2 linked regions of the Schizosaccharomyces pombe genome follow. The protein of the gene in region 1 interacts with the protein of each later gene in a biochemical or structural test. Each region holds a gene or a part of one and is shown in the gene's direction. Other genes may lie near its edges. The genes, in order: sap145 and prp11.

What was found.
Region 2: the proteins of sap145 (region 1) and prp11 form a complex in vitro, tested with the Schizosaccharomyces pombe proteins (one study listed by BioGRID).

Annotation. Positions count from the first base shown.
Region 1 is NC_003424.3:4,803,699-4,808,054, reverse strand, and holds sap145 (putative U2 snRNP-associated protein Sap145), read left to right. Parts: upstream 1-1,635; 5' UTR 1,636-1,667; coding exon 1,668-3,425; 3' UTR 3,426-3,542; downstream 3,543-4,356. Other genes in the region: phosphoinositide phospholipase C Plc1, read right to left, coding at 1-269; rRNA processing protein Rrp16, read right to left, coding at 3,562-4,356. UniProt on the Schizosaccharomyces pombe protein: Involved in pre-mRNA splicing. May be involved in endoplasmic reticulum-associated protein degradation (ERAD) and required for growth at low and high temperatures.
Region 2 is NC_003421.2:517,975-523,710, forward strand, and holds prp11 (ATP-dependent RNA helicase Prp11), read left to right. Parts: upstream 1-1,537; 5' UTR 1,538-1,565; coding exon 1,566-4,610; 3' UTR 4,611-4,923; downstream 4,924-5,736. UniProt on the Schizosaccharomyces pombe protein: ATP-dependent RNA helicase involved in pre-spliceosome/complex A assembly and mRNA splicing. Bridges U1 and U2 snRNPs during pre-spliceosome assembly and enables stable U2 snRNP association with intron RNA.

The DNA of each region.
Region 1 (4,356 bases):
GTACTCAGAAAAGAAGATAAAGAATTTGATCGTTTACGTAGAGTACTATGAGCATCGCGATCCCTTGATGATAGCATCTTAAAGAAATCCTGCTCCGATTTCTTCCTATTGCCAACATATGGGAGATCCAAAGCAGCATTATCTAAGGTTTTACTCCTCGTCTGAGCAACTGCGTTTTCTGAGCAATCGGGCAGGCAAAATGGACTTACTGCTCTGTTGGAGTCTCCTAAGTTGACCGATTCAGGCGACGTTACCATTTCACAATTCATTATGATATCTATTTAAGGATTTACACCGCCATTGGCTTTTTGATCATTATGTTGATATTTAAAAGTTCTTCGGTTTTTCGGTTTTCATTCAGCAACAATACGCCGTGTATGTGTCAATAAAGATAAGTGGATAGCACTCAAAATTGCATATGAGCATAGATTCAATCCACCACTTTAAATCAAGTAAGCCTGATATTATTATAGGGACAAAAATTAGTTGTTTTCGGAACTTTTACCTCTTATATCGTAGGAGCTTACATCCGAGACTTTTGTTAACGTTAGTGGCAAGCGCGCTTTGGTTTAATACGCAATTATGAATAAGAACGTGTTCAATCACAGAAAATCGATTATCGGAAACGCTGTGACTATCACTAAGATGAATTGCAAACAATCGAGTTCGAGAAAACCGTTGGGCTTTATTCAATTGATCTGCGTTTTTGTTCACTCATTAAAAGCCATTTCTCTGAGTATTACTATGAATGGTTTTTTTCTGTTTTATTTTACACTAAAGTGATGATAGAAAAATTAATTTATCAATTAGTAACTAAATATTCGATTGCTCATAAGGAACTCACTGTTCATGTTAACGAATGAAGTTTAATATCGTCGGAAATTAATAGCCTCTCAAACATTTATTTCTTATACTGGTTTATTTTGTTCCCGATTAAAAGTAATGTAGATAATTTTCTCGGAACGTTTCTAAGTTATAATGTGTTCAGTCAACATAGTCTAATGGCCTAGTTTAAACTCTCATCCAAATAATTCTGATAGAGCAAGAACTTGGTGCAATTAAACTAGTGCATATCGACAGTCATTTTTATTTTATCAAACCCTAATACTTACCATTTCAGTAACTTAGAAGGTAACCTCAAAGCATCAACACCTTGAGAATCGTTTGAAGCAGTACTTAGTTTATTGAAAAAATTTGGCAAGGTTAACTCCTAAAGGCGACTTCACAACCATTTATAGAGAAGAACGAAAAATTCCAGATTGCAAATAAGGTGTTCATAGTATTTGCAGGCTTGAAACAACATAAAATCGATTTGGTCTTTAATGGAAACAATCAGAACCTTATTTACAACATAGGAATGAAGAATTACAGTAGCTTAATAATATGTTAATGTTTTAAGAAGTTGTTGTGTATTGCTGGAATTCATGGAAATAGTGTTACTATCGCATTTTATTATTGCAATATATTGTTACACGTTAACTCAACTATTTTCTATTAATTACAGTAAGAATAAGGACCCGTTCATCATGACTATTGCTAGTATTTTTTTTTACAAAAAATCTTCAGTAAGGAGGATACTCGTTTTTTGGGTGGTAGTGTTTTGTTAATACGCTCCATGCATGTACTTGTTGACACGTCCAAAGCATTGTTGCTTAGATTTTTTGTTAATGGCTGAAATACAGACAGCTCAAAATCCTTTAAAGGAACTGGAGAAAATTTTAGAGAGGAATAATAAGCAAAAAAATAAAAAGAGCAGAAACCAAGTTCGTCGAGAGAAAAAAAAATTACTACGTGAAAAGACAAATTCTGGTGCTAAATTGGCAGAAAAAAATAGTGATGACAAGGACCAGTTGACTGAAAATAATGACAACCTATACAATGATAAAAAATCTAATGGAAACTTCTATGATACAAACAAAACTGATAGTGTTGACGGGATGGTCTATACTACAATCGTCGATTCTGTAGAATTAGATCCTAATGATCCGCTAATAGAGCAATTTAAAGATGTCTTTAATCGTTTCAAAGCTGATGGTCAAGAAAAAGATTTCGAAGATACCGACAAGGGCCAAATAATGTATTCTGACGATGAAATTTTGAGTGAAGGCGAAGAAGACGCTTTACAAAAACAACAGGAGGAAAAACTTAGTAAAAAGAAATTGAGAAAGTTAAAAAGGATGACTGTTGCTCAACTGAAGATGCTCTCCGAGAAAGCAGATGTCGTCGAATGGTGGGATGTTTCGTCGCTTGATCCTTTATTCCTCACACATCTAAAAGCATATCCTAATACTGTTCCTGTTCCCCGTCATTGGAACCAAAAAAGAGATTACTTGAGTGGCCAAAGAGGTATAGAACGTCAACTCTTCGAGTTACCCTCGTATATTCGTGCTACTGGCATAGTTCAAATGCGTAATGCTGTGCATGAAAATGAAGCTGATATGCCTTTGCGTCAAAAAATGCGTGAGCGTGTCCAACCAAAAATGGGAAAGCTTGACATTGATTATCAAAAGCTTCATGATGCCTTCTTTCGCTACCAAACAAAACCGGTGCTAACCGGTTTTGGCGAATGCTATTTTGAAGGAAAAGAATTAGAAGCTGATGTGAAAGAAAAGAGGCCCGGCGACATTTCGGAGGAGCTCCGTGAAGCCTTGGGAATTGCTCCAGGAGCACCTCCTCCTTGGTTATTTGCTATGCAGAGATACGGGCCTCCTCCAAGTTATCCAGATCTTAAAATTCCCGGTGTGAATTGTCCAATTCCGACTGGAGCGCAGTGGGGATTTCATCCTGGTGGTTGGGGAAAACCTCCTGTGGACCAATTTAATCGTCCTCTTTATGGCGACGTGTTTGGTAATGTCAAACCTCGAATACATGCTGGTACAGGTTCGCCTGTGAGCACTCAGCATTGGGGTGAATTGGAGGAGTTTGAGGAAGAAGAATCTAGTGAAGAGGAAGAGAGCGAAGACGTAGAATATCCTACTGAAGAAATTACTGAACGTGAAACGATTGAGGAATATCAGTCAGCGTCAGAGCCTAGGTCACAGAGGGAAGATTTGCATGCAGAGCCCTTAACGTATTTTAATCAATCTAATGTAGAGGTTGACAATGTTGAATTACGAAAAAATACTCAACCAAGTAGTGATGCTGCTAATCGAGACTTATATCAAGTTTTACCTGAAAAATCTACTAATATCTCAGGTTTCATGGGTCCTCAGCATCAATACGACATTCCTACCGCTGAAGATACTCTTCCACAAAAAAGGAATGCACATTCCATGCTCTCATCAACCAACAAAGGAGATGTTGCGTTAAATCAAAGTTCTAATTGGCAAGATGAGCTTTCGGAGTTGGTGTCTGAGCAGGCTATGAAGGTTGGTGCTGCGAAACGACAGAAAACACAAAGCAAGAGAGACAAGTTTCGTCTTTAAATTATTATCTACAGTGTACATTAGTTAATCTATATGACAGTATTATTGTTAAGCTCCATACATTATTCAAGTATTAATTATTATTTGTAAGTGAAAATAAAAAAAACCCCAATTTATACCCTAGCTAAAATATATTTTATATACTGTTTTTTTGAAGATGGAAGTCTTTGTGACTATATTTTTCCTTGATCTTTGCACGATACTTTGATTTCTTCAATACTGGCAAAGATGGAGGAACCATTGCTCTTTGTTGTAAACTTAAATAGCGATCGGCAAACAAATTTCCTTCAGGCTTCAGCTCTCTAAGGGAACTAGTCAGCTCATCTCCCAACTTTATTTCAAGTGGGTTGTTAGGCAATCGATGTTTACCGAATTTTTTCTTCTTCAGTTTGATTTCAGTTGTGCTAGAAGAAACAGCCTTATTAGAGAATTTCTCAGCTTTATCCTTTTGCTGCAGTTTTTTGGATATTGCAGGAGCTTTGTCGATCGTCCTCAGAAGCTCTTCATTTTTCTTTTGCTCAAGTAATCTAAGCTCCTCCTCTCTTCTTTGGCGTATCTTATTTCTTTGAGACCTGGTTTTTCGTTTGTTCTTCGAAGAAGGGATCGGAGTTTCTGCTTGTTCGTGTTCAGACTGGTCATCAGAATCAATGCTGTGATTAACGTCTTGGTCTGAAACTAATCCCTTGTCTTCAAAAGCTTTCTTCTGTATTCTTTCCTTTTCCTCTAATTCACTAATTCTTTTCTGTTCTTTCTTAAGTTCCTCTGAACCTTTGGTATCAAGTAGCTTCATCCAAGCTGCAGCGTCAGGATTGTATGACATTCCTGGATCAGCGATAACAACATTTGGGACTTTTGCATTATTCTCAGTTAAAGATTCGGGTAGTTTAGATAATGTAGAAGGTCTTTTAACAGGTATAGTAACTGTTGGGTT
Region 2 (5,736 bases), on another chromosome or scaffold:
TGATGCGAAAATTTTCCAATTTGGATGGAATAATCAACTCTATTTCTATTTCCGTTCACAAATGTGTTAAATAAAAAACAGTAGCATGAGATAGACTCCTTCTTAGGAATTTAGGCGGATCGTGAAGTTAAGAGACTCTCAAGGATGATGAAAGGAAGAATCTGTACAAAACAAAAATCCTATATAAGACAATGAATTTAAAAATGATTACCAACTGATAAAAGTATCCAAGGAGAACCAAATACAAATATTTAACCTAAAGATGAAAGAGTGAATGGAATACAGCAATCAGTAAAAATGAGCAACCAACTATACATACCAACTAGAGGTTAAACTAGTTTCAATATATTGGGTAAAATAAATTACTTAATATACTCTTTAACCATTGCTCAGTTTCGGGCATAGTTCATGCCTTAGCTTAATTCTCCTTAATTAGATACTCTACATTCAATCTTTCCATGTATTCACGTTGGGGTATCCCATCGCTTGTATTTGGACAACCATATTTTTTAAATTTTCTTTCAAAATGTAAGATTTATTTGCTGTCGGTTTCTAACTTCATTACATGCGTATAACCATTGCTCATCCTAAAAACAATTATCCCAGTATTAAGTATATCAAATTATAAAGCAATACCAGAAAAATAATGCCAGCTATTAATACTATCACTGTTAAATCGAGTAAATGGCGAAAAAATACACTTAAAAAAAATAAAAATAAATATACACATAAATAATTTTCTCTTTCATTTGGCATTACTAAAGAATTTTCGTTTTTTGGTTTTCTGCTAAGTCAATATTATTGGTCGAAGAGCGCAAAAACATAAACATTATAGAAAAAGTATAACATTATGTAAATTTCAATTATGCTTTTTTTTTTTTCTTTTTTGGAATGGAAATAATGGCTTTTCTTAATTTATGTACGCTCTAAATTATCTGACTTATTACATTCTATTGTAGATGACTGTTTAACAGACATTTGAAAGAGTACCTTACTAGTAATCAAGAATTGTGGATTCCAAGCCTTAACCCCAATAGTTATTTACATAAAAAAAGAAATATTGTAAATAAAAAGAGCTAACTCGCCTATTCGCCAATCAATAAAATTTTTTATCGTCTTTTATTTCTCGGTTTTCCGATATTATCTTTAGTACAAAAGCAATAAAAATTCAGCAACAATCAAAATGTAAGCGGTGTTGAAAAAATTACTTATATACCAGTGTTGATTATTTTTCCGAGTTTTACTGGTTAAGTTGAAGGTCCAGTGTAGGGAACCATAATTAAATTTTAAATAACTGAAATAAAAAATGAATATTACTTCTAAGATTTATAAATTGCACAGAATTCAGGTTGCTTTACCGACTTAACTGGCAAATTCATTGCTTTTTAATAAACCCCATATGACTTGTATAAATAATCATAAAGAGGTTAACTATAATAATGTAAATTATATCTAGTAGTGAACTAATATCATATGCATAATATATATTGCTATATAAAGTAATTTATGTCGTTTACTTGCCTCATTAAAACTCTTCGTGTACATATCACAACACCCAGTTTTTGATGTCTAGAAGAACACGATCAAGGTCGCCTCCAAGGCGATCCTACAATAGAGAAAGAAGAGATTACCGAAAATATGATGACTCTGAAGATCAAAAGGGTGCACGGTATAACCGATACGTAGACGATGTATCAAGTCGACGAGATAGGCATGATTCTTTTCGTTCTCACGAGTCTAATAAAATTAGAAGAGATAATTCTTGGAAGCATGATAAGTATAGTTACGAAAAAAGGTATCAAGAGCGAGATCGAGAGTATGCGAGATCAAAGAATATTCCCGATCAGTATATTGGTAGGTCACCGCGACCAACATCTCATAGACATGCTGAGGAAAAAGAAGTAGACAATAAAACTAAATCAGATGAAACAAATCCTGTATTACAAGGTTCCGCAACTGAAATAAAGCCTCAGCCTAGACGTTCTCGATTTGATCGAACTGAGAGAGTTGGTGCTTCTTTAAGTGTTTCAGAAATTCAATCTGAAAATCCACGAGTTGATGTAATTCCCAAGGATAAAGCTGTTGAAAATAATCATCAACGAAATGCTGAAAAGCCAGTAGCGTCAGACAAAATTACGGATGCTAAGCTACTCGCCAGGCTAGAACGAGTTAGAGCGTGGAAAGAGTCAAAGGCAAAACAGGAGGCTTCCAAGAAGGAGGAGCACAAGTTGAATACAAAGCCGCAGGTTACAGCCAAAGACCAGAATGCTATGCCTTCAACTGGTATATCCGGGTTTGAGATTAATCGCCAAAAAGATACTTCGGATATGAAGCGAAATAACCGAGTTCACATGGATGATGAAGATGGTCCTAGGCGTATGAATCTTGAAGACTACCAGGAGCTTTGGGACCAAGAAGACCGGGGTATGCTAGGAAATGAGCAAGCAGCTAGCATGGAGGAAGACGAAGTAGATCCTTTAGATGCTTACATGGCCTCTTTGGTTGGTACCACTGATACCATAAGGCCTGGTTTATTAAATACGGAGGTCATTGATCCGAATGCAAACGATGACGAGCGCATGGTAATTTCAGAGACTTTGGAAGAGGAAGAAAATTTACTTGCTCTTGCTGCAAAACGATCAAAAAAGAAAGACGTAATCACAGTTGATCACTCAAAAATAAATTATGAAGATTTCAAAAAGGATTTCTATGTTGAACCTGAAGAGCTCAAAAATCTGTCACCAGCTGAAGTTGATGAACTACGGGCTTCTTTAGATGGTATTAAAATTCGTGGTATTGATTGCCCGAAGCCAGTTACTAGTTGGAGTCAATGTGGTTTATCTGCCCAAACCATAAGCGTGATCAATTCCTTGGGATACGAAAAACCAACCTCTATTCAAGCACAAGCAATTCCAGCGATTACTTCTGGCAGAGATGTAATTGGCGTAGCTAAAACAGGAAGTGGAAAAACCATTGCTTTTCTTCTTCCTATGTTTCGACACATCAAAGATCAGCGCCCATTAAAAACAGGAGAGGGTCCTATTGCAATAATAATGACTCCTACTCGTGAATTGGCTGTGCAAATTTTTCGCGAATGTAAACCTTTCTTAAAGTTATTGAACATTCGTGCGTGTTGTGCATATGGAGGTGCCCCTATTAAAGACCAAATTGCTGATTTAAAACGCGGTGCAGAAATCGTAGTTTGTACTCCTGGACGTATGATTGATGTTTTAAGTGCGAATGCAGGACGTGTTACTAACTTACACCGCTGCACTTATTTGGTTTTGGATGAGGCCGATCGTATGTTTGATTTAGGATTTGAACCGCAAGTCATGAGAATTATTAACAATATTCGACCTGATCGGCAAACCGTACTATTTTCAGCTACCTTTCCTCGTGCTATGGAAGCCCTTGCAAGGAAAGTTTTAAAGAAACCTGTAGAGATTACGGTTGGCGGACGGTCGGTTGTTGCTTCTGAGGTTGAGCAAATCGTTGAAGTACGGCCTGAGGAAAGCAAGTTTTCTCGGCTATTAGAGCTGTTAGGTGAGTTGTACAACAATCAACTTGATGTACGTACACTTGTTTTTGTGGATAGACAAGAGTCTGCGGATGCACTTTTGTCGGACCTTATGAAACGCGGGTATACAAGTAATTCAATTCATGGCGGTAAGGATCAACACGATCGCGACTCAACCATCAGTGATTATAAAGCAGGAGTATTTGATGTATTAATCGCAACTAGTGTAGTTGCTCGTGGGCTTGACGTTAAATCTTTACAGCTGGTGGTAAATTATGATTGCCCTAATCATATGGAGGATTACGTGCATCGTGTTGGTCGTACAGGCCGTGCTGGCCATACTGGTGTAGCTGTTACCTTTATAACCCCAGAACAGGAAAAGTACGCCGTAGACATTGCCAAGGCTTTAAAGATGAGTAAACAACCAGTTCCAAAAGAACTACAAACTCTTGCTTCCCAATTCCTCGAGAAAGTTAAGGCTGGTAAAGAGAAAGCAGCGGGTGGAGGTTTTGGCGGCAAAGGGTTATCACGACTGGATGAAACTCGAAATGCTGAGCGTAAAATGCAGCGTAAGGCCTATGGTGAGGACGAGGAAGATGTAGAGACTGAAGCTGAAGCAAAAAGCCCGTTGGAAAAGATTACTCCTGAAAAATCTACCGGTGATCCCACGCTCGATAGAGTTCGTGCTGCTGTGGGTGGAATTGCTGCTCGTGCATTTGCCAACCAAACTGCACAATCTAACAAGCTTACTCAGCCAATTTCTATAATAAAAACCGATGGTGATGAGTATAAAGCTAAAATGGAAATTAATGACTATCCTCAACAAGCTCGTTGGGCCGTTACTAATAACACAAATATTGTACATGTAACGGAGTTAACTGGCACAAGTATCACTACTAAGGGTAATTTCTACTTGCCAGGTAAAAACCCTGAACCAGGAGAGGAAAAGTTGTACTTGTGGATTGAAGGTCCATCTGAGCTTGTTGTTAACCGAGCCATCACTGAATTGAGACGGCTTCTTCTTGAAGGAATTAACCACAGTTTGGAAGGAGGTAACAAACCAAGTGCTTCTGGACGATACACAGTTGTCTAGTACTTTCGGTCTATCCTTTTGAAAAAGAGACCTACACTCGTTTAAAATTAATCAATTGAATACGTTACGTGCTTTTTTGGGGAAGGGCAAAAGTGGTTATGAAAAATTAATGATTAGAAATGTCAATATTTATTATTTTAACTAAACATATATGGATTTTGGCATGAAAATTAAGGCATGTATCTTTTTTCATCGCAAAGTAAAAGCGGGAAAGAATGATTTTATTCACATTTTTAAAGCGAGTACTTTTCCAACTGCTTTCCTGAAATAGTGTTAGGGTATTTGCTTTTTGTAATCCACAGTATTTATAGTAAACAATAAACTAATGGTTGAATTTAATCTTTTGTGAAGAGAAGAAATAAAATGTAATTTTTGGCCTTCAATTATCAGTGCTAAACACAAATAGTAGGCAATCAATCCCATAGTTGTTTATTTGAGAAAAAGGTTCTGTCAGTGAATGCTTGATTTCATGATTGATGGGTTTAAAAGAAGTTAAAATTATAAAAATCAGAATTTTTTAGCGTAGAAGTAAAAACCTTCAATTATTTAATTTTTCTCCGACTATTTGCATAAGACCTAAACAAACTAACTGTATGCGAACTATATTGTACTAACACTGCATCAAGTTATATAATTACAATTTCGATGTACATTGTATTAAATGAATGCAAAAATTTATTTTTTTTACTATTTTCTTTTTTATTATAAAGGGCATTAAAGTAAACGTAGATTGTCTACGGCCATACCTAGGCGAAAACACCAGTTCCCGTCCGATCACTGCAGTTAAGCGTCTGAGGGCCTCGTTAGTACTATGGTTGGAGACAACATGGGAATCCGGGGTGCTGTAGGCTCCTTCTTTTCTTTCTTTTTTGCCTTTTTAATCCTGTTTTTACATTTGTTAATTATTTAATAGGTGCGCTGACCTAAACACAACTGCGTCTCATATGCGGCAAAGTGCAATGTCTTATTTTCATGAATTATATACACTACTTATTTTAGCGAGATATTAAACAAAACTTGAGTAGCTCATAGAAAGTTAGCTAAGATTACCTTTTATCTTTTTTTTGAAGTTATTTGTTCTAGCTATAGTTCATTAACTACAGGCAAAAATTTACCTCTTTTCTGG